4 linked regions of the Stegostoma tigrinum genome follow. The protein of the gene in region 1 purifies or fractionates together with the protein of each later gene. This does not show direct contact. Links are inferred from orthologs where the notes say so. Each region holds a gene or a part of one and is shown on either strand. Other genes may lie near its edges. The genes, in order: activating molecule in BECN1-regulated autophagy protein 1-like, dnaJ homolog subfamily B member 1-like, bag5 and serine/threonine-protein kinase Nek9.

What was found.
Region 2: the proteins of activating molecule in BECN1-regulated autophagy protein 1-like (region 1) and dnaJ homolog subfamily B member 1-like purify together in Homo sapiens (affinity purification with mass spectrometry, with the first as the bait; 3 studies listed by BioGRID). This does not show direct contact. The link is inferred for Stegostoma tigrinum from reciprocal best matches to the Homo sapiens genes AMBRA1 and DNAJB1.
Region 3: the proteins of activating molecule in BECN1-regulated autophagy protein 1-like (region 1) and bag5 purify together in Homo sapiens (affinity purification with mass spectrometry, with the first as the bait; 3 studies listed by BioGRID). This does not show direct contact. The link is inferred for Stegostoma tigrinum from reciprocal best matches to the Homo sapiens genes AMBRA1 and BAG5.
Region 4: the proteins of activating molecule in BECN1-regulated autophagy protein 1-like (region 1) and serine/threonine-protein kinase Nek9 purify together in Homo sapiens (affinity purification with mass spectrometry; 3 studies listed by BioGRID and IntAct, with this or other methods). This does not show direct contact. The link is inferred for Stegostoma tigrinum from reciprocal best matches to the Homo sapiens genes AMBRA1 and NEK9.

What each region holds. Positions count from the first base shown.
Region 1 is NC_081370.1:2,164,040-2,171,078, forward strand, and holds the start of activating molecule in BECN1-regulated autophagy protein 1-like, read right to left. Parts: upstream 3,011-7,039; 5' UTR 2,556-3,010; intron 1-2,555. UniProt on the Homo sapiens protein: Substrate-recognition component of a DCX (DDB1-CUL4-X-box) E3 ubiquitin-protein ligase complex involved in cell cycle control and autophagy.
Region 2 is NC_081388.1:21,035,745-21,043,080, reverse strand, and holds the start of dnaJ homolog subfamily B member 1-like, read left to right. Parts: upstream 1-4,322; 5' UTR 4,323-4,431; intron 4,432-7,336. Other genes in the region: c35h19orf67 (UPF0575 protein C19orf67 homolog), read right to left, coding at 3,395-3,485. UniProt on the Homo sapiens protein: Interacts with HSP70 and can stimulate its ATPase activity. Stimulates the association between HSC70 and HIP. Negatively regulates heat shock-induced HSF1 transcriptional activity during the attenuation and recovery phase period of the heat shock response.
Region 3 is NC_081363.1:40,506,465-40,514,011, forward strand, and holds the start of bag5 (BAG family molecular chaperone regulator 5), read right to left. Parts: upstream 2,937-7,547; 5' UTR 2,907-2,936; exon of another isoform or gene 2,864-2,906; intron 1,250-2,863; coding exon of another isoform or gene 1,179-1,249; intron 1-1,178. Other genes in the region: cytochrome c oxidase assembly factor 8, read left to right, coding at 3,273-3,443. UniProt on the Homo sapiens protein: Co-chaperone for HSP/HSP70 proteins. It functions as a nucleotide-exchange factor promoting the release of ADP from HSP70, thereby activating HSP70-mediated protein refolding.
Region 4 is NC_081363.1:1,271,492-1,278,679, reverse strand, and holds the start of serine/threonine-protein kinase Nek9, read right to left. Parts: upstream 3,005-7,188; 5' UTR 2,925-3,004; coding exon 2,733-2,924; intron 1-2,732.

The sequences.
Region 1 (7,039 bases):
CCAACCCATCCCATACATAACTGTAGTTCAAGACTTGGAGGATGGAGAAGAGTGCACAAATGTACAGTTGCTAACTTTGCTGGTGATACAAAATGAAGTTAAGTGTGAAAAGGATACAATTAGTCTGCAAAGGGTAGGTTTGCTGAGCAGGAAAATTTGGCAAATGGAGTATAATGTGGATAAACTGAAAACAGCATATGATTTAAATGAAGAAAGATTGCACAACACTGGAGGTACAGAAGGATCAAGGTAGTCTGGTACACAAACCATACAAGGTTAGTATGAAAATGCAGCATATATTATATCTTTATTTTATTCCAATGCGAATTAAACATAAAAATAGGGATGTTTTGCTGGTCTTGTGCAAAGCACTAGCAAGACTACATCTAGAGCTGTATGTAAGGTTTTGGTCTCTTTACTTAAGGAAGACTAATCTTGCATCGAAAATAGTTCAGAATATCTTCAACTCAATGGATATCTAGGATGGGGAAATTATCTTTTGAGGAGTAGTTGGACAGACATGACCTGTATCCAAGATAACAAGGTGTAGAGCTGGATGAACACAGAGGGCCAAGCAGCATCAGAGGAGCAGGGAGGCTGACGTTTTGGGCCTAGGCCCTTCTTCTAGGCCCAAAACGTCAGCCTTCCTGCTCCTCTGATGCTGCTTGGCCTGCTGTGTTCATCCAGCTCCACACCTCGTTACCTCAGATTCTCCAGCATCAGCAGTTCCTACTATCTATGACCTGTATCCACTTGAGTTTAGAAGAATAAGGGATAGTCTTGCTGAAACATATAAGATCCTGTGGGACTATATGCAGTGGATGCTGAAAGGTTCCTTCCCATTGTGGTGCAATGACAAACTGGAAAAATGGTTTAAAAATGAAGATCATATGGGTAAACCATTTCAGATGAAAACTAAGCGTTTTATTTTTTTCTCAGAGGGTGATGAGTCTTTCGAATTCTGTTCCCCAGACAGCATTGGAGGCTGGGTGATTTAAAATTTTAAAGGCATACATAGATACACTACCAAAGGGGACAAAGGATATGAGGATTCAATAGGAATGGGAAGCAAGGAGCAAATCATCTATTTGTTTGTAATTCATATGGCTACATGGAAATTTCCTGATCTTTAACCAGTATGATCAGGCTTAGAATTTACATTTTAATGTTTATAAGCAAGTCTAATCATTCTGCTTGTGTTTCGTGGGGATTTCTTTATGTAAATTTTTTAAAATCATCTCATTTTTGAGGTAAATAAAATATATTCTGTGTCTTTAACACATATTTATGGCATCGTGTTGTTTGCGCCACAATATTATAAACTGTTTTTAAAACTTGATGTGTCTGATGCTTGTTAGCTTTGGAGATCCATTTTCACGCATAAACAGTAATTTAAAGAATAAAAACAGCACAGCTTTGACAATTTCCTAATAACTCAATGGTTGACATAAATTTTGACATGTTTCACACCAGTTTTTACATTCCAGTATATACCAAAGCGATTCAGGAATTTTCTACTCAAATGTCTGTAATGACATTGGAGGAAGGTCCAGGCCATCTCAAATTTGGAACTCCTCACCACGCTCAATATCATTTTCCTAAAATCAAGATTTTAAAGCCTGCAGTGAGCTACAACATTTGCCAGCACAACAATGACTACACTTTGAGAATGATATTTTGAAATATCCAAATTTATAACATATAACGTAGCCATTCAGGTCAATCTGGAAGTGGCATCTAACAAAGAGCCCTCCCAGCCTAATCCTACCTTATCACGCTAGATCAAAAGTCTGGCAGGTAACAATTCTTCAAAGCAGAATCAAATATTTACTTAATTGCGGTGACAGTTTATGTCTCGACCAGCCTCTGCATGGGCGAAAAAAAGTTTCCTCATCTTTCCTCTACCAATGACTTCAAGCTCTTGACACCTCTGTTAAGGAAAATTTGTCACCTCTATTTACTCAAATTCCCTCCTAATTTTACACACCAATTATGTCACCTCTCAGACTCAAACTGTTAGACTACTAAACATACTGAAATATTAAAAGATTACATTTACATAAATTCTTGCCTCGTCTTATAGTCGAACTATTTCGAAAGAGGGCCCTCTATCAGGGTTTTTCATTTCTCAGATTACAACATTAAAGAGGAAATGTCGTTTACAGGCCTACTGGATCACAATAAATTCATCAAATTAAAATGTCAGTAAAAAGGGGGCCAGTTTCATGTTTCCCAGAACCACTCCAGCCTAACGAGCTTCCCATTTTGTGCTTGTAAAATTGATGGTTAAAACACAGCCTGGGCAGACATTTTGTGTAGGACTCCCCCTCTTGAAACAGCATTAAACTATTCCCCAGCCCCGGAACACAGTGAACAAGGACAGTGCTTCACATTTATGAACTGCCACAGGAGAAATTCATTCCTGGAAACTGAGCAGTGGGTGGAAGGAGGCGGGAGGGGGGGGGGGAAGGAAAAATGTCCCTGAGAGATACCATGACAACTTGTCTAATCCACAGAATACCAGGCACAAGACTGTGGAGTTTTGCCTCACTTACCTCTGGGGAAGACAGGTAGAAAGTGCCGTACGTCAAACAAACTGGTTAGTATCCATCACTGAGCGGAATACAACTGTCCACCAAAAGGCCAAGTTTTGGTGTGGCCTAGAAACCTTTCACATATTCCATAATTTCTTGTGTTACAGACATCAATGTCTCTCCCAGACCAGTGTAATTGATACGGAGCAATGGATGCAATCCGGAGCCAGGCCAGAACAATGGAACCTACAACATCGACCATTCATCCCAACAGGAAGACTTCAGACAGCCAAGGCCAGAGCAAGTGAAATTGTTCAACCACCGCCTGCTTCCGCGACTGGCTGCTGGACCACTTTAAATGCCCGCTCGCAGTATCTCAGCTTAACAGTTCACATCAAACATGTGTATCTATTTGAAAAGAATACACCATGCATTACAGGCTTAGTTGACACGTTGAAAGGGTTTTCAGTTCACATGTTGTATCTGTGCCTCATCATCCATGGTTTGGTTTTTGCAATCGTGTGGGAAACCTGGAAACCTTCAGTCTTGGCAAACCTCCTATTGAAAATACTGGAATGTGAATTATGATAGCCTGTATTGTCAGTCTCATTAAGGCAAGGTTTGTACAATGTGCTTGAGTTCTTATTGTTAACAATTACATAACGTTATTCAATAAAGAACAAATCACATTACTAGGCTAAAAAGTTTAATCCTGGATATAGATTTAATTAGCTAATCTTAGCTTTGGCAATGCTCAGAGAACCACAATCTTAATAGAGTAGGAGATGAATATTATTTTGATGCAACATCTCACACATTCTCTCAGGATATCCCAATAATGTACCTTTTTAACAGTCATCATTGTTGTAACGGACAAAAAAATAAAATTCAATTTGCACAAAAAGTCACAACAGGCAGAAATGAAATAACTGATCAGATAACTTGTTTTAGTTACATTTGAAGAATACATTTAGGCCAGAATTCCATTCTCTTGTTTGAATATTCCCAAGAAATTTCTCTTGGGAATATCTTACATCCATCTGAGAGAACAAATGGGATCCCAATTTCATATTTATTCTGAAAAACAGCACCTTTTTAAATCTAGTACTTTAACTGCGCTGCACAAAAAGTTACATATTCAAGTTTCAAGATGAGGCTTAAACCTAGGAAACTATTTCTTTGTTTGCTCTGAATAATGCAACCATGCATCCTTCTGAGGCACAATTCAAAGCACTACCGCTGACAGACCAATTTTCTTGAATTACTGCACTTGTCCAAAAGACAATTTGAAGGAAGTTTGGTGTTCTTGAAAATTACATTAATTGTAACTCATGATCATATAACAAGTTAGACTGTAAAAATTCTCATCTTTGACCTCACCTAAGTGTATGATTCAGTGTGTAATGCTGTATAATGTTAAGTTGCCAGTTTCATTTCAGTTATTTACCCATTCTGGGGCCAAGTCTTGGTTTAGTAATAATTTATATTGACCATCTTTCAACACAGTCAGTTTCACATCAGAATACAAACTATTAAACTTTGCCATGTGTGAATTGGGTAAGAACAGTAATAAGTTCAGCTGAAGGCCAAATAGTGTGCCGATATTTGCAATGCAGTCACGACTGGTGAGTAACGCAGGATACAAAGAGGGCATCGATGTTCATTGGACTGTAAATAAAATACTGGATGCTGGAACTCTGAAAATTCTAAATAATATTGAGCGTACCCAGCGTTTTCTCCTTATATCTGCAGAACATCCTGTTGGGGACAATGAAAGAATGGGGAATGGAACATTCAAAAAAAAAGAGGAAAGTGGTCAGAATGCATCTCATCTGTATTTCTAAAACAATCAGCCTTTGAAATTCTCCTAAGTCAGAGAGAACTTCCCTGCAACTTCAACTTAAGATTCCAAAACAGAGGGCTGAAATCTCTGCCTAACTCTCTCACTACTTTGGAAACTGGGTCACTGCTACCCTTTGCCTCCTGGGAAATGTAGTCCCCTCTGGGCGCAGGGCATACTGGGGTTTGTAGGCCACACAAGATGACTCTCTGTTTGGCGACCACACATTCGACATAGCGGGCTTCGTAGTCGTTGTGGGGAGGAAGAATAAAATCCTAATTCTATCACGGTGAAAAGAAGACGCGTCGCCGACTTTTATTTACTGGAGCGTTTTCACTCGTGCTTGGTTTAGTTTCAGTGGCGGGAGTTGTGGTGTGTGATGATGGCGAATGTGCGCGCCGGCGCTGAGGGGCGATGTTCGCGGAGCGTGGCGGAGGTAAACAGAGGCAGTTTGAGGCCGGGAGGCCGCTGGCGACGCCGTTTTTGTTGTTGGGATCGCGGGTGTGATTGGCGATTGAGGACGGCTTCTCCCCAACCCCTCCACCGGGCTGGGGCGACGGGAGCCAAGGCCGCCGCTCCGTTCAACTCGGGCGGTGCCGGAGAAGTCTGCTGGAATGTGAGGGGTGAGTGTCCGCTGGGGCCTGGGTAGGGGCTACAACCCATCGGTACCGTCCTCACCCGCTGAAAACGCGGGTTTGTTTTTAATATAAGTCTCACTTATTCATAATTTTACGGCACCGTGCAGCTTCGGCGTTTATTCCCACTTGTGTGCGGCTAAGATGTAAGTTGCTGTTGTTGTTGACTGGTTTTTGGGCACTGGCACAGGCACTGCGGGCCGAATAGCCTCCTCTGCTGGCTGCGATGTCGGGGAGCCAGTTCGGGCCGAGTGATGATGACCCTTCCTTCGGAACTGATTTTTCGCTTCTCTGATACCGCCGGACGTGCTGAGCTTTTCCGGCAATTCCCGCTTTCGTTTCTGATTTGCAGCGTGCGCAGTTCTATCCGTATTTTTTTTTAAAAAAAAGAAAAATTCGGTGCAGTTTCAGGACTGAAGGATTTGCTCGGCCGCAAGACAGTGGCGTTTAAAAGTTGTCTTTTTACCCCGGAAATTAAACGGGCCGTTGATTTCTTAAATCGCGACTGGAAACTTCACTGTCCAGTGTCCTTCATGTATATGCAATGCAGTTTGTCTGTGTCAACATACAGCTTTTCAGTGGATTTCGTTGGCTTGTGAGGCTGCTTTTATTTGTTTTTCCTGGTAGTACCGAAGACCTGTTGCAGGCTGTGACCCAAAACATGCAAGTTACTTAGGCACAGGAATCAGCCACTCAGCCCGTCGAGAAGCTCCGCCATCTAATTAAATCGTGGTTGACCATTACTCCAAAGTCACTTTTCTACGCTATTTCCACACCCGCTGTTATCATTTGAGAATGAGAATCTTACTGATTTCTATCTTGAACATATTCAGTGATTAAGTTACCCCTCCGGCAAAGCTCCCGTACGACTTTTCCCCACTGTGCAGCCTTCCCATGTCCGTGCACACTAACAGTTTATGGAAACAAACATATAAGCATGCTATTTGGCGTGTGCAGACCCCACCCTCAGCAGTCGCACATCTTGGAGGGAATGTTGCTGTCCGGGATCGTGAATTCCAGCAATTCCCCATCCTCTGGGTGAAAATAGATTCCCCATAATCTTGAATGGTGTGCCATTGCTCTGGAATTGTGACACCTGGTTTTAGGCATGCTAGCCAAGGGAAATTCCTGTCTACAATATTCCTACCTTAATATCCTTGCAATACTCCACAGACTGCGGTCATGACAATTACTTGCTTCCTACTTTCTGCCTGTTAACCAATTTTAAAATCTGTGCCAGTATACTAATCGCAAACCCATACACTTTAGAGATAGTAGGAACTGCAGTTGTTGGAGAATCTGAGATAACAAGGTGTAGAGCTGGATGAACACAGCAGGCCAAGCAGCATCAGAGGAGCAGGAAAGCTTGACGTTTCAGGCCTAGACCCTTAGTTTTGTTGCAATTAACCTCCCATTGAAGATTTTATCAAGCCTTCCAAAAATTTGAACACAGCACATCTACTGGTTCACTTTTATCTATACTACAAGTAACATTCTCAATAAAAGACCAAGTTTGTCGATTTGATTTCCTTTCATTCAATCCATGTTAACTCTGCCTGATTTTTGTGTCCAGTAAATATTATCCTTTACAATAGATACTAATGTTTCCTTAGTACTGACATCAAACTAACAGATCTGTAGTTGTCCATTCTCCCTCTTAAATGATGAGCTTACATTTGCCACTCTTCAGCCTGCAGGAATGCTTTCAGTGTCTGTATCATTTTGAAAGATGATCACGAATGCATGAATCTCTAGCCAAAAACTTTGACACTGGAATGTAACTCATTTGGTCTAATGGATTTATCAGTCTTGAAGGTCTGCGTGTGACAGCAGCTTATGGAAGGTTTGATTGTGCAGCCATTGAGAGATTCTGAAGTGCTTAAAGGGAATGTTGCCCTCTGATTAGTGAATTCTAATGATTCCCCACCCTTTGAATGAAAATAATTGGTAGTAGATTCTTTGCGCATTTTGAGAGATTATTGAGAAGCAAATTGCGAAAAGGCTATTAGGTGAGAATGTGGAGAAATCAA
Region 2 (7,336 bases), on another chromosome or scaffold:
GTCTATAACACTTGGTTGAGGTCAACTACTTGTTGAGGACAACTACTTGAGGTCAACAGCACCAATGATATAGGTAAAAATGAGAATGAGGTCCTACAAGCAGAATTTAGGGTGTTAGGAGCCAGGTTAAAAAGTAGGACCTCAGAGGTAGTAATCTCAGGATTGCTACCAGTGCCACCTGCTAGTCAGAGTAGAAATGAAAGAATAGGCAGGTTGAGGGAAGGGTGAAATTGGTAACTAAATATCCCCAGATGTAGATGCTTTGGGCAGAATAGAAGGGGAAGTAAAAGGGGTGGAGGAGTTGCATTACTGGTCAAAGAGGGTATCACAGCTGTACTGAAGAAGGGTACTATGGAGGACTCGAGCAGTGAGGTAATACGGGCAGAACTCAGAAACAGGAAGGGTGTGGTAACAATGTTGGGGCTGTGCTACAGGCCTCCCAACAGTAAGCGTGAGATAGAGGTACAAATATGTGGACAGATTATGGAAAGGTATGGGAGTAACAGGGTGGTGGCGATGGGAGATTTTAATTTTCCCAACATTGACTGGGATTCACTTATTGTTAGGGGTTTAGATGGAGCAGAATTTGTAAGGAGCATCCAGGAGGGTTTTATGGAGTAGTATTATGTAGTCCAACTCGGGAAGGGGCCATACTGGATCTGGTGTTGGGGAATGAGCCGAGCCAGTTCGTTGAAGTTTCAGTAGGGGATTACTTTGGGAATAGTGATCACAATTCCATAAGTTTTAGAATACTCATGGACAAAGACGGGAGTGGTCCTAAAGCAAGAGTGCTAAATTGGGGAGATGAAGACTGTGGCAAAATTCAACAGAAGCTGGGGAGTGTGGATTGGGAGTAGCTGTTTGAAGGTAAATCCACACTTGATATGTGGGAGGCTTTTAAAGAGAGGCTGATTAGAGTGCAGGCAGACATGTCCCTGTGAAAATGAGGGATAGAAAGGGCAAGATTAGGGAACCATGGATGACAGGTGAACTCATGAGACTAGCAAAGAGGAAAAAGGAAGCATACATAAGGTCTAGGTGACTGAAAGCAGACAAAGCTTTGGAAGCACATTGGGAAAGTAGGACCAATCTGAAATGAGGAATTAAGAGGGTGAAAAGTGGTCATGAAATATCTTTAGTGAACAGGGTTAAGGAAAATCCCAAAGCCTTTTATTTGTACATAAGGAGCAAGAGGGTAACTAGAGAAAGGGTTGGCCCATTTAAGGACAAAGGAGGGAAGTTTTGTGAGGAGTCAGAGAAAATGAGTGAGATTCTTAATGAGCACTTTGCGTTGGTATTCACCGAGGAGAGGGACGTGACAGATGTTGAGGTTAGGAATAGATGTTTGATTACTCTAGGTCAAGTTGGCAAAAGGAGGGGGAAGTGTTGGGTATTCTGAAAGGCATTAGGGTTGGCAAGTCCCCAGTTCCAGATGGAATCTATCCCAGGTTACTGAGGAAAGCAACAGAGGAAGTAGCTGGGGCCTTAACAGATATCGTTACAGCACCCTTGAGCACGGGTGAGATCCCGGAGGACTGAAGAATTATTAATGTTGTCCCCTTGTTTAAGAAGGGTAGCAAGGATAATTCAGGTAATTATAGACCGGTGAGCCTGACGTTAGTGGTGGGGAAGCTGAGGGATGGGATCTATTTACGTCTGGAAGAAAATGGGCTTACAAGTGATAGGCAGCATGGTTTTGCACAGGGAAGGTCATGTCTTACCAGCTTGATAGAATTCTTTGAGGAAGTGGCAAATTTGATAGATGGTGGAAGGGCTGTGGATGTCATATACATGGACTTCAATAAGGCGTATGATAAGGTCCCCCATGGTAGGCTGATGGAGAAAGTGGAGTTGCATGGCATCCAGGATGTATTAGTAGATAGAAAACTGGCTGGGCAACAGGAGACAGAGAGTTGTAGTGGAAGGGAGTCTCTCAAAATGGAGAATGGTGACCAGTGGTGTTCCACAGGAATCTGTGTTGGGAGCACTGTTGTTTGTAATATACATAAATGATCTGGAGGAAGGTGTAGGTGGTCTAATTAGCAAGTTTGCAGATGACACTAAGATTGGTGGAGTAGCAGATAGTGAAGGGGATTATTGGAGAATGCAGCAGAATATAGATAGTTTGGAGAGTTGGGCAGAGAAATGGCAGATGGAGTTCAATCCAGACAAATACGAGGTGATGCATTTTGGAAGATCCACTTCAAGAGCAAACTATATGTAAATGGAAAAGCCTTGGGGAAAATTGATGCATAGAGAGATCTGGGTGTTTAGGTCCATTGTACCCTGAAGATGGCAACGCAGGTCGATAGAGTGGTCAAGAAGGCATACGGCATGCTTTCATTCATTGGACTGGGCATTGAGTACAATAGTTGGCAGGTCATGTTACAATTGTATAGGACTTTGGTTCAACCACATTTGAAATACTGCTTACAGTTGTGGTCGCCACATTACCAAGAGGATGTGGATGCTTTGGAGAGGGTGCAGAGGAGGTTCACCAGGATGTTGCCTGGTATGGAGGGTGCTAGCTATGAAGAGAGGTTGAGTAGATTGGGATTATTTTCTTTAGAAAGACAGAGGTTGAGGGGAGACCTGATTGAGGTCTACAAAATCATGAGGGGTATAGACAAGATGGATAGCAAGAAGCTTTTTCCGAGAGTAGGGGACTCAGTTACTAGGGGTTACGATTTCAAGGTGAGAGGAGGAAAGGTTTAGGGGAGATATGCCTGGAAAGTTCTTTACGCAGAGGGTGGAGGGTGCCTGGAACGTGTTGCCAGTGGAGGTGTAGAGGCAGGCATGACCGCGTCATTTAAGATGTATCTAGACAGATACATGAATAGGCAGGGAAGAGAGGGATAAAGGTCCTTGGAAAATAGGTGACAGGTTTAGATAGAGGATCTGGATCGGCGCAGGCTTGGAGGGCCGAAGGGCCTGTTCCTGTGTTGTAATTTTCTTTGTTCTTTATCTTTGTTCTTGTTCTTTGTGCTTGCTCTGGAAGATCCAACAAGTTTCAGGAAGACCAAAGAGAATCTTTCTCTGAGTTGCTGGTCCTCCAGGTGCAGTTGATATTTGTCTTGGTGTGTGTCCCCGGGAACAGACCGTCGAGCACACATACCTGTGTCATGGAGCTGCTCGGAATGAACCTCGACAAAAATCACTGCATCTCTCTCTGTATTTCGTTCGCAAAGGCACATTCCAGAAGGAGGTGTGTGCCAGTCTCTAACCCCACCTTGCAGCCACTTTGAGGGCAGCGTGCGGTGGTGCAGATTAACCGGGCGTACAAGAAGGATCTCACAGGCTGGAAAGTCTTCGGCTTTCAATTTAGTAAACACTCAGGTTTCCTATCCTTCCTTAAATAAAGCAGACTGGAGTCGTGGGCTCAACACTCTCTTACCAGTGATGTACAAGTAACCCTCCCTGTCATTGCTGCCCTTTCTCTTGCCCGGGGAGAAGTTGAATTTGGGGACCAAGAAGCAATTCCACATCTCGGAGATGAATGGATGAATGAAAACCGAAATAGCCACGGATGTTTTAAATCAGAACAAAAGTTGCCGGAAAAGCTCAGTAGGTCTGGCTGGATCTGTGAAGAGAAATCAGAGCTCACGTTTCAGATCCAGTGACCCATCCTCAGGAACTGACTGAATGAATGAGTGAATGCTGTTGCTGCGAGCATGTACCACAGCCCGGCCATCGCCTCGAGGGGGCGGGGTTTGGCGTAGAGGGGCGGGGTTTGAGTGTGGAGGGGCGGGGTTTGGTCTGTAGGGGCGGTGTTTATCGGGACGGCGTGGTTTTGGAGTGGAGGGGCGGAGAATGAGTGTAGCGGGGCGGGGTTTGAGGGTGGAGGGGCGGGGTTTGGTCTGGAGGGGCTGTGTTTATCGGGACGGCGTGGTTTGGAGTGGAGGGGCGGAGAATGTGTAGCGGGGCGGGGTTTGAGGGTGGAGGGGCGGGGTTTGTCCGGAGGGCAGGGTTTGGGATGGAGAGGCGGGATTTTAGGGTAGAGGGGCGGGGTTTGAGCGTGGAGGGGCGGGCTTTGGTGGAGATGCGGTGCGTTTGGTGTGGAGGGGCGGATTTGTCGGGGGTGCGGGTTTTGAAGGTGGAGGGGCGGGGTTTGTTGGGAATGGGGTGGGTTTGATGTGGAGAGGGTGGTCTTTGAAGTGGACGGGGTGTGTTTTGGTGTGGAGGGGGTGGGTTTGGTGTGGTGAGGCGGGGTTTGGAGGGGCGGGGGTATCGGTTTTGTCGGGGGGGTGGTGTGCGGAGGCCGGAGGCGGGGCTTGGACTGGTGGGTGGGATTTGGCGGTTGGGATCGGCGGGGCTGGGTGAGAAGGGGGCGGATCTGGTGAGGAGAGGAAGTGACGATGTATGGAATGTTCCTGAAAGTTCGAGCAATTTGTTGAAAGTGTTGCGGAGAGACGGTGAGAGCGGCGCGGCCTGGTGAGTGTTGCTGAGGGGTTCCGAATGTATCCAGGGTGAGGGGCATGTCCATTAGGTACATTGGCGGCCGAATGTATCCTTTCCCTTTTGTGTCAGGGCCCGGATACATTGTTTCCCCTTGCTACTTTGGGGAGAAAACGTTGTGGGTTGGGCAAGGTTTGAAGCTGTTGGAGTTAGGAAGGGGTGTGGACAGGACAGGGGCAGCCCCTGTGCCTGTTATTTGATAAATTGCCCCTCCCTGCCCTGTGTTGTGACAGACAGCCCGTGGGGGGGGGGGAAGCGGGTAGGGGGTAACGAGACTGCTCTTTCCCCATCATCGTACATTTTTCCAAAGGTTAGGGGAATGACAGGCCCTCCAGCCCAAGGTACTTTCAACGTAAACCTGCAAGGGTTAAGAACAGCCGTCAACTTCTACATCTCTCTCTTTCACCTTTCTTCCCCCGCTCCTCCCGTGTTCTGGTTTAATTGTCTTTCAAAGGGTGTATCCCATCCTGGCAGTAAACCAGAACTAAAGGGTCTTTACAATTCTACCCCCCCCCCACCCATAACAAAATTCCTTTTCTCAGCAACTCATAGGGTAACCTGACACTGACTGATCAGCTGTCAGATCCCAGCTGACATGGGGATTACAGCCAAAAGCAGAAATTGCAGGAGAAATCTTCTCAAAACTCGATTGCATGAGTAACTCAGTGGGTCTGGCAGTGTCTGTGGAGAGAGAGAGAGAAATGCAGTTAACATTTTGAGTCCTGCTGACCTTTCAGAACTTGAAAAGGGTAACCACACCAGCTAGCTGGTGAAACCAGGCCAGGACTTATTTGGAATGGGAGATCTCCTTCAAAAAGGTGCCATTTGCATTGCGTTTCTGAGCTTATGATTTCAGTTGGTCTTTTGTCAGGGGAGGGGAGGGGAGCTAAAATCTTCAAATGGTTGTGGTTTTGCTTTCTCTCCATTGCTTGCTAATTTCTTTGGGCTCTGTAATCTTTGCAACCCCATTGACAGAGTTGTGAAGAACTCCCTGAAATCAGTACAGTAGGCCTAAGGGCCTCTTTCTGTGCTGTGTAACTTTATAACTCTTTTCTCTTCTATTGCAGTTGTGTATCTGGAATGTTAGCAAAAACTTAAGGAGGTTATCTTTTCTGCCATCAGAAAAGATGATGAAGTGGGGGGTGTGGTTGACTTGTGAAAGGAGAGAAGGGTGACCTATACAGAGTCGGGGAAAGGACTTGTCAGAATTGTCAGGTGTGCAATTGATTTGTCATATGTACCAAAGTTTAGTGAAAAGCTTTGTTTACCAGCGGTTCAGGCAGATCATAGTAAGCGAGGATGTACAGGTCAAAAAGACATAGACAGGCAAACAGGATGTGTGCTAGGTGTGATCAATGTTAGTAAGATCAGTGTTGTTTGATGCTAGACAGTCTGTTTATCAGTCTGATAACAGCTGGCAAGCAGCTCTTCCTGAATCTGCTGGCCCTTGTGTTTGGACTTCTGTATCTTCTGCCTGATGGAAGAGCTTGTAGGAGGTCATTACTGGGTTGCAGTGGGTCTTTGATGTTGGCAGCCTTTCTGCGGCTGTGAGCTGTGTAAATGGAGTCCATGGATGAATGGTCATGAGGCAGTGAGAAGGTCCATTGATCCTTGAGTAATGCAGGACAATATCTTGAGGGGCATGGATAGGGTGAGTGGGTCAAGGCCTTTTCACTAGGGTTGGGGAGTCCAAAACTAGAGTTGGGAAGGGGGCTGGGGGTAGGATTTAAAAGGGACCTTAGGGGAAAGACTTGCCTGCAGAGCGAGGTGCCTATGTGGAATGAACTGCCTGGGAAGTGGTGGAGGCTTGTACAATTACAACATTGAAAAGACATCTGGATGGGTACTTGAATTGGAAGGGTTTAGTAGCTTGTGGGCCAAATGCTGTGTGATGGATCTGGATTGAGTTTGGATATCTGTTTGGCACAGGAGGGTTCGTGACTGCTTGTAAATGTTAATGACTCTGACTCACTGACAATGTTGGTGGCAACACAGGTAGGTTTGGAATTAAAAACCTAAACTAATGGTGGTTGGTGGGTAAGGGAAGACTTGTCTTTATAGCACCTTTCATGACCAGCATGGCTGTGGTATGTACTAGACGACTGAGATGTTTTTTACAGTACCAAAGTAGGTCGGGGGAAAGATACTGACCTGGGATATTGGGGAGGAACACCCTGACTTTATTTTCAAAATGCTGATTTTGTTTTTCCTCAAAAGACAGCTGGGAAGTAACATATTGAACCATGTGATGTGAACTTGAAGAAGAACCAAGGAAGGATTTTTTAACACAGCAATGGTTGAGATAGCTGGTCCAATTAGCAAAGAGCTCATGGGATCCAAGACAAAGTGGCACATTAGATCCAGAATTAGCTAAGAGCCAAAACGTAGAAGGAAGTTTCTCTGACTGGAAGTCTGTTTCCGGGGTGGGGGGAGCTGGCAACAAGTGAGGAAGATGGCCATAAATGGTGGGAAAACATCAGTGTACTGCTCACGTGGGCAGGGTAGTGGCAAATGGAATTAGTGCAGAAAAGAGAAGTAATGCACTTGGCGAGGGCCAGCAAGGCAAAGGATTACACTGTAAATAGCACTGTGGAAAGTATTGAAGTTCAGAGCGACCTTGATGTGCATGTCCATAGATCTGTGACAGTAGTAAGGCAGGTAGGTAAGTTGGTTAAGGTGTTTAGGATACTTGCCTTTATTAGCCAAGGTGTAGAATACTGCAGTAAGGAGGTTATGTATAAAACACTAGGTAGGCCACAATTGGAGTAATGTGTGCAGTTCTGATCGACACACTATGGAGAGAATGTGATTTTTCACTAGGGGAGATTTACCAGGATGCTGCCTGGACTGAAGGGTCTGAAATGTGAGGAAAGATTGGATA
Region 3 (7,547 bases), on another chromosome or scaffold:
AATGGACTAAATATTTCTAGTGAGCTGAAAGATGCAAAATTCAGTCTCAGCAGTACCACCAGGAGTGGGAGGATGTAGTTTTTGCATGGCAAGTTTGCATGGGCTGTTTCCAGCCTGAAAATGAACATATTGATGTACTGTGTATTGGAAAATTGATAAAAGGAGGTCAGGTTTTGTAGATATTTGTACTCAGACATCATTTTTAAATTACAGTTATTCACCTGTTGTCTTAGTTTGTCCACCAATTAACTTTGGACTGTTTTGTTAATTCTTTTAACTAGAATTCTGGTGATGATCATTGTGATCAGTTGCCTAAAATATAGCTGCTAACAAACTGTACCTCACTGCGTGTTTACAAAATGTATGCAAAGTGAAACCTTCCCTGCATTTTCTCAAATATTACATAGAGATATATGGATGAGAAAAGCCATACGGTGTCAGCCACGCTCAATAGGGGTTAGTGGCTAGGACTGTTGCCTCACAGTGCCAGGGAGCTGGGTTCGATTCCACTCTCAGGCCGTGTGGAGTTTGTACATTTTCCCATCTGTGCATGGGAGTGGGCAGGTGGGTTTCCTCCACTACCTCCCACACTCCAAAGGTGTGCAGGTTAGGGGAATTGGCCATGCTAAATTACCCACAGTGTGCAGGCTAGGTGCATTCGCCATGGGAAATGTAGGGATGGGGGTTGGGGGTGTTGGGTTGGACATGATATTCTTTGGAGGTTTGGTGCAAACTTGATGGGATGAATGACCCGCTTCAACACTGTAGGGGTTCTATGATTCTATTCCATGAAATTATGTAGCGAAGTAATTATCAAAGAGCTGGCTCTAGTTCCTTAAAGAAGCATAGGCTAGTGTGGTGGTAACCAGGAAATTTGCTTCAAATATTGAAGTTTCAAGTTTTCATGCAAATATGTTATTTCAACTGGACTGATAAGAAAGTACCACTTTGATAATACATCATTATTTGAATGGTTGTAAATTAAGAGGAGAATGTTCAATGAGACTTGGTGTCATCATGCACCAGTCATTGAAAATAAGCACACAGGTGCAGCAGCAAAGAAAGCAAACCGTACGTTGGCCTTCAAAGCTTGAGTATTTGAATACAGGAATGAGGATGCCCTTGCTGCAATTATTCAGGCCACACATGGAATATGACTGAAGTTTTGGTCTCCTTACCTGGGGAAGGGTGTCTTGCTATTGAGTAAGTTCAGTGAAGGCTTATCAAATTGAATCCTGGGATGGTAGAACTGATGTATGAGGAGAGATTGACACAGTTAGAATTGTATTAACTGGAGTTTAGATGAATGAGGGGGGGAAATCTCGTAGAAACCTACAAAATTCTAACAGGGCTAGACAGGTTGGATGGAGGAAGAATGTTCCCAAATGTGGGGGAGTTCAGACCAGAGGTCATAATTTAAGGACGAGAGGTAAACCTTTTGAACTCAGTTCTGCAGAAATTTCTACACCTGAACAATGGTACACCTGTGGATTTCATGACCACAGAAACTAGTTGAGACCAAAACATTGTTTTCAAAGTATACAACTATATGTACCTACATATAGCTCTTGTGACTCGTGATTAAGGCATATTTGCGGGTGGGGAAGCAGGCGCGAAGGAAGGAGGAGGAGGAATGGGCAGGCCTAAGGTATTGAGTTCAATAATCAACCGTGATGATATTGAATGGCAGAGCCGAGTCAAATCCTGCTCTTAACTTCGATGTAACTTCAGATCCTGCATATAAATCACGCAAGGGTAGAATTGGTCGGATGGCAGGTCATTCTTATTCCCAAAAGACTATTCATTTAGGGAACAAATTACAGGCTTACACATATAGTGCGTCATGAAAAAGGGCTCGATCAGATAATTCCTGAATAGGGCGGCTCACTATAGTACTTTTGCCTCACTAAGCCAGGGCCCAAGTTAATTCCAAACGCGAGTGACTGTCTACGTGGAGTTTGCACATTCTCCCCGCATTTGCATGGGTTTTCTCCCAAGATGTGCAGGCTAGGTGGATTAGCCATAAATGGGGAGTTACGGCAATAGGGTTGGACGCCCTTTGGAAGATAATGGGAACAGCACATGCTGGAGAATCTGAGATAAACAAAGTATGGAGCTGGATGAACACAGCAGGCCAAGCAGCGTCTTAGGAGCACAAAGGCTGACGTTTCGGGCCTAGACCTGAAACGTCAGCTTTTGTGCTCCTAAGACGCTGCTTGGCCTGCTGTGTTCATCCAGCTCCACACTTTGTTATCTTGCCCTTCGGAAGGTTGGTGCAGACTCCACGAGCCGAAGAGCCTCTTCCCACACTGTAGGGATTCTGTGACTGAAAAATAAAAAAAGGAAGGATACTAAGCATCACAGATCATGTTGATATGGTATGCTGGATTGCGGGGTGGTGCTAGAGAAAATCTCCCTTGGACATATCGTGCCTTCAGATTACACGGGAACTAGGATGATTAACGTATCACTGACTGCGATGCAGCCAGTTTGTCTTCACTTCTCGATGTAATTTATGAAGCAACAAGGTGTGGAGCTGGATGAACACAAGAGGCCATGCGGCATCAGAGCAGCAGGAAAGCTGACGTTTCGGGTCTGGACCCTTCTCTGATGCTGTGTGGCCTGCTGTGTTCACCAGCTCCACACCTTGTTATCTTAGGCTCCGTCATCGGCAGATCCTAGTATCTCTGAGTAAACTCATGAGGCGTTAGCGCAGCAAAAGCCGGACGGCCTGTTGGCACAGGCTTCGAGAGATAAACTCCACGTTAGGCTCTGTCATACGGGCCAGGCCGCACCGGTCATACCGAAAGACAGCATGCACGAGACTCGCTCCCAAACCGCGTGCGCGCCCGATTGAACACACCGAAGTGGGACAGGGAGACGAGCTCACTCCCTGTCAAACCCACCAGAAGCTCCTTCTGGATCCTTCCACTCACCGACCAACTGCCCGCCCGGAAACTCTGGAAAGCGATAGCTCGAAGAGTTTTCGACCACGCACATGCGTAGAGCCAAACCCTGCCAACTGCCCGCCCGGAAACTCTGGAAAGCGATAGCTCGAAGAGTTTTCGACCACGCACATGCGTAGAGCCAAACCCTGCCAACTGCCCGCCCGGAAACTCTGGAAAGCGATAGCTCGAAGAGTTTTCGACCACGCACATGCGTAGAGCCAAACCCTGCCAACTGCCGGATCGCTTTCACGACAGGATGTCGGTTCCTTACTGCCGTAAACTGGAACAGCTTCGGACAGGGCGGATGGTTGTGTGTTGTCAGTGATGAGCTGTAGGTGCCTAACTGTCTTTTCGTTTGTTGGAAAATTATCGAGAACAAGAATATTTCATAGTACCCGGGTAAAGGAAACTGGAGGGGACAAATACGTGGTGTTGGGAGGAAGGTGCTGTCCAGTTTCGAGCAGTGCTGCTGATCAAAGTGACAATGGTACCGAGGTATATGTCAACTTTCCTGTTTCTAGTAAATGTGAAGCAACTCTAGGGTGACTGTCGATGTTATTTGAAACTTATTACCCTCTCGGGAACTGTCCTGATCTACCTAACGTAGGATATAAACATAATATTGTACTGTGCTTGATTTTTCCCCGCAAACTGCTTTAACGAAGGTTTGATTTATTAAGAGATAACTCAGCGTGGATGCTGAATATTATTGTTAGAAGTGGACAATGGAGGAAAATTTTCATCCGTTGGCAGAATCGTTCACGTATATCAGCCATCTCAAGCTGTCATGTTAAATGCCGCAATTGTAGCCTTTGCGTTTTGGATGCAGTATCTTAAAATATTTAGCACACGCTGGCGGAAAAACCTTCTGAGAGTTAGTGCAGTGTATTGCATGGTACACATTACAGCCACCCGTGTCATGCAGTTTGCCATAAAGAATGAATGTTTAAAGTGGTGAATGGGATGGTCAAGTGGGCTGTCTTGTCTTGGATATTGAGCTGTTTGAGTTGTAGCTGCTTTCATCCGATAGCTATTTTGAGACTAATTGAGACTGACTGCAATCAAAGATTGATTGCTACTTTGCTATGAAGTACATACATCAAAAATTCCAGTGCTGTAGAAGTTCTTTTCAGGAAAAGCTTCATGCCTTCCCCTCATTAGACGTAATTTGTGAATCTCTTTTTCAATCAGACCTGTAAAATTGTAAAATGGCCTAGTGGTATTATTGCTGGACTGTTAATCCAGAGACCCTATCAATGTTGTGGGAGGGAAGAGAGGGGCTGAGGGCAGATGTGTGAGAGATGGGTCGAATCTGGTTGAGGGCCTTGTTGACAATGGTGTTGGGGAATCGTTGAGGAAGAAGGTGGACATTTCAGAAGCTCCCTTGTTGAAGTTGGCCCAATAGGAGCATATGCGACCGAGTTTGAGGAACTGGGAGAATGCACTGAAATCTTTAGAGAAGGCAGAATTGCGAGGATGTATAATCCACGTAACTGTGGGAGTCGGTGGGTTTATAGTGGATATGTAGTGGTTAGTCTGTCCCCAGAAATGGAAACAGATGCTGACGAAGGGAAGAGCCAGAGATAGACCAGGTGAAAGTTAGGCCGGGGTGGAAATTAGAAGCAAAATCAAAGAATTTTTCCAATTCTTGATGAGAGATGGAATTAGTACCGATAATATCATCAATATATTGGAGAAAGAGTTGCGGGTGGGAGTGGAATAGGACTGGAACAAGAAATGTTCCATGTTCCCAACTAAGAGACAGGAGTAACTGGGCTGATGTGGATACCCATGGCCATCCCTCTGACCTGAAGCAAATGAGAGAAGTTAAAAATGAAGTTGTTGAGGGTGTGAAGGAGGGTGGGGCCAGCTCAGGCCTCCATTCAGGAAGAAGTGGAGAACCCTGAGACCATTCTGTGTGTGGGGGGGTGATGGATGTGTAAAGAGTTAAAAGGTAGTGGCTGGAGCCTGCAAACTGGAAATTCTGAAACCGGAATAGAGTGTCAGAGGAATCTCAGGCATATATGGGCAGGGACTGGAACGGGGAGAAAAGACTGAATCATGATAGTAAGAGATGAGGTCTGTGGGACAGGAGCAGGCTGAAACGATGGGTCTGCCCAGGCAGTCCTGTTTATGGATTTTCGGAAGGAGGTAGAAGCGAGCTGTGTGGAGCTGGGGGAACTATCAGCTTCGAGGCAGTGACGGTTGAACTGAGGTCACTGACCGTGAGAGATACAATGGTCTGATGTGTCATGGTGAGGTCATGATCCAGGTACAATAGGAGGATCTATCTAAGAGCAGGCGCTCAGCCTCTGTAATATCAAGGCCAGTACGCTAGACTTCCTTATTTAACTCCACCCTCCTCGGTATCCAAGGGATCAGACATACTTTATAGGTGAAGCAACACTTTACCTGAACTTTGCACAATCTAGTCTACTACATTCACTGCTCATGATGTGGTCTCCTGTACATTGGGGAAACAAAGCATAGACTGGGTGACCACTTCACAGAACCTGCATTCTGCTCACAAAAAAAGACTCTGCCTGCCATTTTCACACACCATTCTGTTCCCTGGCCATCATCTCTGTCTCTAGCTTGCTGCAGTTCCAGTGAAGCTCAGCGCAAGCTGGAAGAACAACGTCTCATTTCCTGCTTGGGGACCCTGCAGCCCTCCGGACTCAATATCAAGTTCAATAATTGTAGGGCCTGAACTCTTCCATGACTTAGACCCCTACTTTACACACCAGGCCTTGTTTTCACATATTCTGCCATTACACACTATCTATTGTTAGCCAATAACCGTCTCCATTAACAGCTATTCACCCTCCCAGCCAGATCATTATCCACTCCTTTGTCTGTCCAACTGTTCTTCTCTGTCTTTGGACACTATTCCCACCTATCGTTCACTCCCAACCCACTCATTCCACCCGATCTTCAGCACATAAACTGACATTTTCCTCGCCACCAACTGCTCCAAGGAAGTGTCACTGGATCCGAAACGTTAACTCTGATTTATCTTCACAGATGCTGCCAGACCTGCTGAGATTTTCCAGCAACTTCTGTTTTCGTTTCTGATTTACAGCATCCACAGATTTTTCAAGTTTTTTCACACTGCATGTTCTCTCACATGGACAAAAAAAATCCCCTCATACTATGTAGAATTACAAAGAAGTTATCCTTTTGTCCTGGCTAATATTTATCACCCAGTCAAAACAGAACCATAGAAATGATACAGCACAGAATGGGACCGTTTGGCACATCTTGTTCAGTCTGTCCCAAAGATACCCAGATGATCTTTCTAATTCTTTATTCCTGACCACAGGCCGTAGCCCTGCAGCTTACAGCATTTAAAGTGCAGATTCAGATATGTTGAAGAGTTTTCATTTTCTGCCTCCACCACTTACCCAGGCAGCGAATTCCAGACACCCCCACCATCCTCTGCATTATTAAAAAAACACTGAAAGAAATTGATAGCAGCAGGGAGATTGAAGAAAGCATAGGTCGGCAGATTTTGGAAAAGTGCGGACGTAGTAGGGTTGTTGTAATGGGTGACTTTAACTTTCCCAATATTGATTGGAACCTCCTTCGAGCAGAAGATTTGAATGGAGCTGTTTTTGTAAGGTGTGTTCAGGAGGGTTTCCTAACTCAGTACGTTGACAGGCCGACGAGGGGAGAGGCCATTCTAGACTTGGTGCTCGGAAACGAGCCGGGGCAGGTATCAGATCTTGTGGTGGGAGAGCATTTTGGTGATAGTGACCATAACTGCCTCACATTCTACATAGCTATGGAGAAGGAGAGGATTAGGCAAAATGGGAGGATATTTAATTGGGGAAGAGGAAACTATGATGCGATTAGACATGAGTTAGGAAGCATGGACTGGGAGCAATTGTTCCATGGTAAAGGCACTATAGACATGTGGAGACTGTATAAGGAACAGTTGTTGCGAGTGATGAATAAATATGTACCTCTGAGACAGGCAGGAAGGGGTAAGATAAAGGAACCTTGGATGACGAGAGCGGTGGAGCTTCTCATCAAAAGGAAGAAGGTAGCTTACATAAGGTGGAGGAAGCTAGGGTCAAGCTCAGCTCTAGAGGATTACAGGCAGGCGACGAAAGATCTCAAAAATGGTCTGAGGAGAGCCAGGAGGGGGCACGAGAAAGGCTTGGCAGAACGGTTTAGGGAGAACACAAAGGCATTTTACACTTATGTGAGGAATAAGAGAATGGTCAAAGAAAGAGTAGGGCCGATCAGGGATAGCATAGGGAACTTGTGTGTGGAGTCTGAGGAGATAGGGGAAGCCCTAAATGAGTTTTTTGCTCAGGTCTTTATGAAAGAAATGAACTTTGTAGTGAATGAAACCTTTGAAGAGCAGGTGTGCATGCTGAAATAGATAGAGATAGAGGAAGCTGATGTGCTGAAAATTTTGTCAAACATTAAGATTGACAAGTCGCCAGGCCCAGACCAGATTTGTCCTCGGCTACGTTGGGAAACGAGAAATGCAATTGCTTCGCCACTTGCGAAGATCTTTGCATCCTCGCTGTCCACTGGAGTCGTACCTGAGGACTGGAGAGAGGCAAATGTAATTCCTGTCTTCAAGAA
Region 4 (7,188 bases), on another chromosome or scaffold:
AGGGGAAGCACTAAATGAATATTTTTCAACAGTATTCACTCCAGAAAATGACAATGTTGTCGAGGAGAATACTGAGATACAGGCTACTAGACTAGGTGGGATTGAGGTTCACAAGGAAGAGGTATTAGAAATCCTTCAGAGGGTGAAGATAGATAAGTCCCCTGGGCCGAATGGGATTTATCCTCGGATCCTCTGGGAGGCCAGGGAGGAGATTGCTGAGCCTTTGGCATTGATCTTTAACTCGTCATTGTCTACAGGAATAGTGCCAGATGACTGGAGGATAGCAAATGTGGTTCCCCTGTTCATGAAGGGGAGTAGAGACAACCCTGGTAATTATAGACCAGTGAGCCTTACCTCAGTTGTTGGTAAAGTGTTGGAAAAGGTTATAAGGGATAGGATTTATAATCATATAGAAAAGAATAAATTGATGAGGGATAGTCAGCACGGTTTTGTGAAGGGAAGGTCGTGCCTCACAAACCTTTATTGAGTTCTTTGAGAAGATGACCAAACAGGTAGATGAGTAAACCGGTTGATGTGGTGTATATGGATTTCAGCAAGGCGTTCGATAAGGTTCCCCACAGTAGGATATTGTACAAAACGCGGAGGAATGGAATTGTGGGAGACATAGCAGTTTAGATCGGAAATTGGCTTGCTGAAAGAAGACAGAGGGTGGTAGTTGATGGGAAATGTTCATCCTGGACACCAGTTACTAGTGGTGTACCGCAAGGGTCGGTGTTGGGTCCACTGCTGTTTGTCATTTTTATAAATGACCTGGATGAGGGCGTAGAAGGATGGGTTAGTAAATTTGCAGATGACACTAAGGTCGGTGGAGTTGTGGATAGTGACAAAGGATGCTGTAGGTTGCAGAGAGACATAGATAAGCTGCAGAGCTGGGCTGAGAGGTGGCAAATGGAGTTTAATGCGGACAAGTGTGAGGTGATGCACTTTGGTAGGAGTAACCAGAAGGCAAAGCACAGGGCTAACGGTAAGATTCTTAGCAGTGTAGATGAGCAGAGAGATCTCGGTGTCCATGTACACAGATCCTTGAAAGTTGCCACCCAGGCTGACAGGGCTGTTAAGAAGGCATACAGTGTTTTAGCTTTTATTAATAGAGGGATCGAGTTCCGGAACCAAGAGGTTATGCTACAGCTGTACAAAGCTCTGGTGCGGCTGCACTTGGAGTATTGCGTACAGTTCTGGTCACTGCATTATAAGAAGGATGTGGAAGTTTTGGAAAGGATGCAGAGGAGATTTACTAGGATGTTGCCTGATATGGAGGAAAGGTCTTACGAGGAACGGCTGAGGGACTTGAGGCTGTTTTCATTAGAGAGAATAAGGTTGAGAGGTGACTTAATTGAAACATATAAAATAATCAGACGATTAGATAGGGTGGATAGGGAGAACCTTTTTCCTGGGATGGTGACGGCGAGCACGAGGGGGCATAGCTTTAAATTGAGGGGTGAAAGATATAGGACAGACGTCAGAGGTAGTTTCTTTACTCAGAGTACTAAGGGAATGGAACGCTTTGCCGGCAACGGTAGTAGATTCACCAACTTTAGGTACATTTAAGTCGTCATTGGACAAGCATATGGACGTACATGGAATAGTGTAGGTGAGATAGGCTTCAGATTGATATGACAGGTCGGCACAACATCGAGGGCCGAAGGGCCTGTACTGTTCTATGTTCTATGTTCTATGAATTGAATGGAGAGCCTGAAATCAGAGATACAAAATTTTCTGATCACACAAACATACAAAGAAAACTAAGTCGACAAAATGACAGAACGGCACTGCATACAGGTTGAATGAGTCAGATAGGATGGGGGAAGATGGAAAGCAATGGAGAAAACACTGCGCTTTTCCAAAGTGGCACTATTTAAAAGTAAACAGTCGGCTAAAGTGAAATAGAGAGATCCGATGATGCTAGGACAGGAATCTCCAAAGCAGGATGCAGGCAACACAACTAATTTAAAAAACATTGCAATGTTGTGGATGGGTCAGCGCTGAGGGAGCGCCGCGCGGTCGGAGGGGGACAGGGGAGGCGGCGGGGGGCTGGCAGGGTGGCTGCGGGGTGGGGGGGTGCGGGGTGGGGGGGTGCGGGGTGGGGGGGTGCGGGGTGGGGAGGCTGTGGGTGGGGGGAGGCTGTGGGTGGGGGGGGGTGGGGGGAGGCTGTGGGTGGGGGGGTGGTGGGGGAGGCTGTGGGTGGTGGGGTGGGGCGAGGCTGTGGGTGGGGGGGTGGTGGGGCGAGGCTGTGGGTGGGGGGGGGCGAGGCTGTGGGTGGGGGGGTGGGGGGAGGCTGTGGGTGGGGGGGTGGCTGTGGGTGGGGGGGGTGGGGGGAGGCTGTGGGTGGGGGGGGTGGGGGGAGGCTGTGGATGGGGGGGTGGTGGGGGAGGCTGTGGGTGGGGGGGTGGTGGGGGAGGCTGTGGGTGGTGGGGTGGGGCGAGGCTGTGGGTGGGGGGGGTGGGGGGAGGCTGGGGGTGGGGGGAGGCTGTGGATGGGGGGGTGGTGGGGGAGGCTGTGGGTGGGGGGGTGGGGGGAGGCTGTGTGTGGGGGGGTGGGGGGAGGCTGTGGGTGGGGGGTGCTGGGGCTGGGGGGTTGTGGGTGGCGGCTGGACCCAGTGAAGGTCCCGGTTGCTGTGACGGTGGACATGGCGAGGACCCTGTTCGTTGCTGTCACTGCGCTCCGGCTCTGTTCTGTTTTCCTGACCGGCCCCTCCCAGGCCCGGGCCTCACCTCCGTCCTCCGGTACAGGGTGGCCTCCCCGAAGGCACCTCTGCCCAGGATCTTCACCGGGATGTAGTGAACCTCGGTCCCGGCCTCACTCAGCAGAGAGTCTCCGGATCCTGGGCCTGTGCCGCCCGACTCACTGCCACCGAACTCGGAGCTCACCGACGCCAGGTGCCGCTCGAACGGCTTTAGCTCCATCGCCGCAGTCTCGGGCCCACAGAGAAGCTGCACCCCTCACAGCCTGAGGCCCGAGGCCGCGTCTCCCCCGCCACAGTGTCCGCCCCCTTGCGGCGGGAGGACCACCCTGACCCCACTCCCTGGCGGCGGGAGGACCACGTTGACGCCGCTCCCTGCCGGCGGGAGGACCGCTCTTTCTCCCCCCAACACCTGACACCCGCGCTTATCGCCCCCTCGCGGCTGGAGGACCATACTGACCCCCCTCCACCCATACCCTGGCGGCGGGACGACAACAGTGACCATTCTCCCTGGTGTCGGGAGGACCACGTTGACGCCGCTCCCTGGCGGTGGGAGGACCACAGTGAACATTCTCCCTGGTGTCGGGAGGACCACGTTGACGCCGCTCCCTGGCGGTGGGAGGACCACAGTGACCATTCTCCCTGGTAATAAAATGTGAGGCTGGATGAACACAGCAGGCCAAGCAGCATCTCAGGAGCACAAAAGCTGACGTTTCGGGCCTAGACCCTTCATCAGAAAGGGGGATGGGGTGAGGGTTCTGGAATAAATAGGGAGAGAGGGGGAGGCGGACCGAAGATGGAGAGTAAAGAAGATAGGTGGAGAGGGTGTAGGTGGGGAGGTAGGGAGGGGATAGGTCAGTCCAGGGAAGACGGACAGGTCAAGGAGGTGGGATGAGGTTAGTAGGTAGCTGGGGGTGCGGCTTGGGGTGGGAGGAAGGGATGGGTGAGAGGAAGAACAGGTTAGGGAGGCAGAGACAGGTTGGACTGGTTTTGGGATGCAGTGGGTGGGGGGGAAGAGCTGGGTTGGTTTTGTGATGCAGTGGGGGGAGGGGACGAACTGGGCTGGTTTAGGGATGCAGTAGGGGAGGGGAGATTTTGAAACTGGTGAAGTCCACATTGATACCATATGGCTGCAGGGTTCCCAGGCGGAATATGAGTTGCTGTTCCTGCAACCTTCGGGTGGCATCATTGTGGCACTGCAGGAGGCCCATGATGGACATGTCATCAAGAGAATGGGAGGGGGAGTGGAAATGGTTTGCGACTGGGAGGTGCAGTTGTTTGTTGCGAACTGAGCGGAGGTGTTCTGCAAAGCGGTCCCCAAGCCTCCGCTTGGTTTCCCCAATGTAGAGGAAGCCGCACCGGGTACAGTGTAGCATTTCCTGGTTGTAGGGGGACAAAGGTGAGCCCCTTGCTCAGGACTGACCGTTCGTCCTCAGTCAGTGGGAGGTCTGGGGGGAAGGTGAAGATTCGGCAGGGTTCAGTGTGGCTGTCTCCTCTGGGGTTACAGGCTGTGGAGGTTGTGGGCGGAGCGATGAGGTCGTCGGCCGTGGGCGGGGTTCTGTCGGCCATGGGCGGGGTTTTGCCGGCCGTGGGCGGGGTTCCGTCGGCGTCGGCCGTGGGCACCACACATCAACCAACACCAGTCACGGTCGGACATAGAGCAGTTTTTCCGCCGTCTTCGCCTCCACGCCTACTTCTTCAACCGGGAGCCTCACCCTCCCTCCGCTGACCCCTTCACCCCCTTCCAACACAAGTCCTCCTCCTGGACACCACCCCCAGGCCTCCTACCCTCCCTCGACCTCTCCATCTCCAACTGCCATCGAGACATCAACCGCCTCAACCTCTCCACCCCTCTCACCTACTCCAACCTCTCCCCCGCAGAACGGGCAGCCCTCCGCTCCCTCCGCTCCAACCCCAACCTCACCATCACACCCGCAGACAAGGGTGGCGCAGTGGTAGTATGGTACCTCTACATCGCCGAGGCCAGACGCCAACTCTCCGACACCACCTCCTACCGCCTCCTCGATCATGACCCCACACCCGAGCACCAAACCATCATCTCCAACACCATTCACGACCTCATCACCTCAGGGGACCTCCCACCCACAGCCTCCAACCTCATTGTTCCCCAACCCCGCACGGCCCGTTTCTATCTCCTTCCCAAAATCCACAAACCTGCCTGCCCTGGTCGACCCATCGTCTCAGCCTGCTCCTGCCCCACCGAACTCATCTCCACCTATCTGGACTCCATTTTCTCCCCTTTGGTCCAGGAACTCCCCACCTACGTCCGTGACACCACCCACGCCCTCCACCTCCTCCAGGACTTCCAATTCCCTGGCCCCCAACACCTCATATTCACCATGGACGTCCAGTCCCTGTACACCTGCATTCCGCATGGAGATGGCCTCAAGGCCCTCCGCTTCTTCCTGTCCCGCAGTCCCGACCAGTCCCCCTCCACCGACACCCTCATCCGCCTAGCTGAACTCGTCCTCACACTCAACAACTTCTCTTTTGACTCCTCCCACTTCCTACAGACTAAGGGGGTGGCCATGGGCACCCGCATGGGCCCCAGCTATGCCTGCCTCTTTGTAGGTTACGTGGAACAGTCCCTCTTCCGCACCTACACAGGCCCCAAACCCCACCTCTTCCTCCGGTACATTGATGACTGTATCGGCGCCGCCTCTTGCTCCCCAGAGGAGCTCGAACAGTTCATCCACTTCACCAACACCTTCCACCCCAACCTTCAGTTCACCTGGGCCATCTCCAGCACATCCCTCACCTTCCTGGACCTCTCAGTCTCCATCTCAGGCAACCAGCTTGTAACTGATGTCCATTTCAAGCCCACCGACTCCCACAGCTACCTAGAATACACCTCCTCCCACCCACCCTCCTGCAAAAATTCCATCCCCTATTCCCAATTCCTCCGCCTCCGCCGCATCTGCTCCCACGACAAGGCATTCCACTCCCGCACATCCCAGATGTCCAAGTTCTTTAAGGACCGCAACTTTCCCCCCACGGTGATCGAGAACGCCCTTGACCGCGTCTCCCGCATTTCCCGCGACACATCCCTCACACCCCGCCCCCGCCACAACCGCCCCAAGAGGATCCCCCTCGTTCTCACACACCACCCTACCAACCTCCGGATACAACGCATTATCCTCCGACACTTCCGCCATTTACAATCCGACCCCACCACCCAAGACATTTTTCCATCCCCTCCCCTGTCTGCTTTCCGGAGAGACCACTCTCTCCGTGACTCCCTTGTTCGCTCCACACTGCCCTCCAACCCCACCACACCCGGCACCTTCCCCTGCAACCGCAGGAAATGCTACACTTGTCCCCACACCTCCTCCCTCACCCCCATCCCAGGCCCCAAGATGACATTCCACATCAAGCAGAGGTTCACCTGCACATCTGCCAATGTGGTATACTGCATCCACTGTCCCCGGTGCGGCTTCCTCTACATTGGGGAAACCAAGCGGAGGCTTGGGGACCGCTTTGCAGAACACCTCCGCTCGGTTCGCAAAAAACAACTGCACCTCCCAGTCGCAAACCATTTCCACTCCCCCTCCCATTCTCGAGATGACATGTCCATCATGGGCCTCCTGCAGTGCCACAATGATACCACCCGAAGGTTGCAGGAACAGCAACTCATATTCCGCTTGGGAACCCTGCAGCCATATGGTATCAATGTGGACTTCACCAGCTTCAAAATCTCCCCTTCCCCCACCGCATCCCTAAACCAGCCCAGTTCGTCCCCCTACCCACTGCACCACACAACCAGCCCAGCACTTCCCCCCCACCCACTGCATCCCAAAACCAGCCCAACCTGTCTCTGCCTCCCTAACCTGCTCTTCCTCTCACCCATCCCTTCCTCCCACCCCAAGCCGCACCCCCATCTACCTACTAACCTCATCCCACCTCCTTGACCTGTCCATCCTCCCTGGACTGACCTATCCCCTCCCTACCTCCCCACCTATACTCTCTCCACCTATCTTCTTTACTCTCCATCTTCGGTCCGCCTCCCCCTCTCTCCCTATTTATTCCAGTTCCCTCTCCCCATCCCCCTCTCTGATGAAGGGTCTAGGCCCGAAACGTCAGCTTTTGTGCCCCTGAGATGCTGCTTGGCCTGCTGTGTTCATCTAGCCTCACATTTTATTATCTTGGAATCTCCAGCATCTGCAGTTCCCATTATCTCTCATTCTCCCTGGTGGCGGGAGGACCGCTGTGACACTCAAGTGTTTTCCTTTTGACCATGAGGCCCTTCAACGTGCACGTGACCCTCTGGAGGGTCCTGCGTGTGGTGCAGTGGTAATGACCCTGTCTCTGAGTCAGGAGGCCTGTGTTCAAGTCCCACCCTCCCTAAAGGTGTGCAGTAACATCTCTGTAACGGTTGAATTGAAACGAGACGAAGATCTGCGGATCCTCTGTGTCTGACACCAGGAGTTGCTGGAGAACCTCAGTAGGTCTGGGCCGTGTCTGTGGAG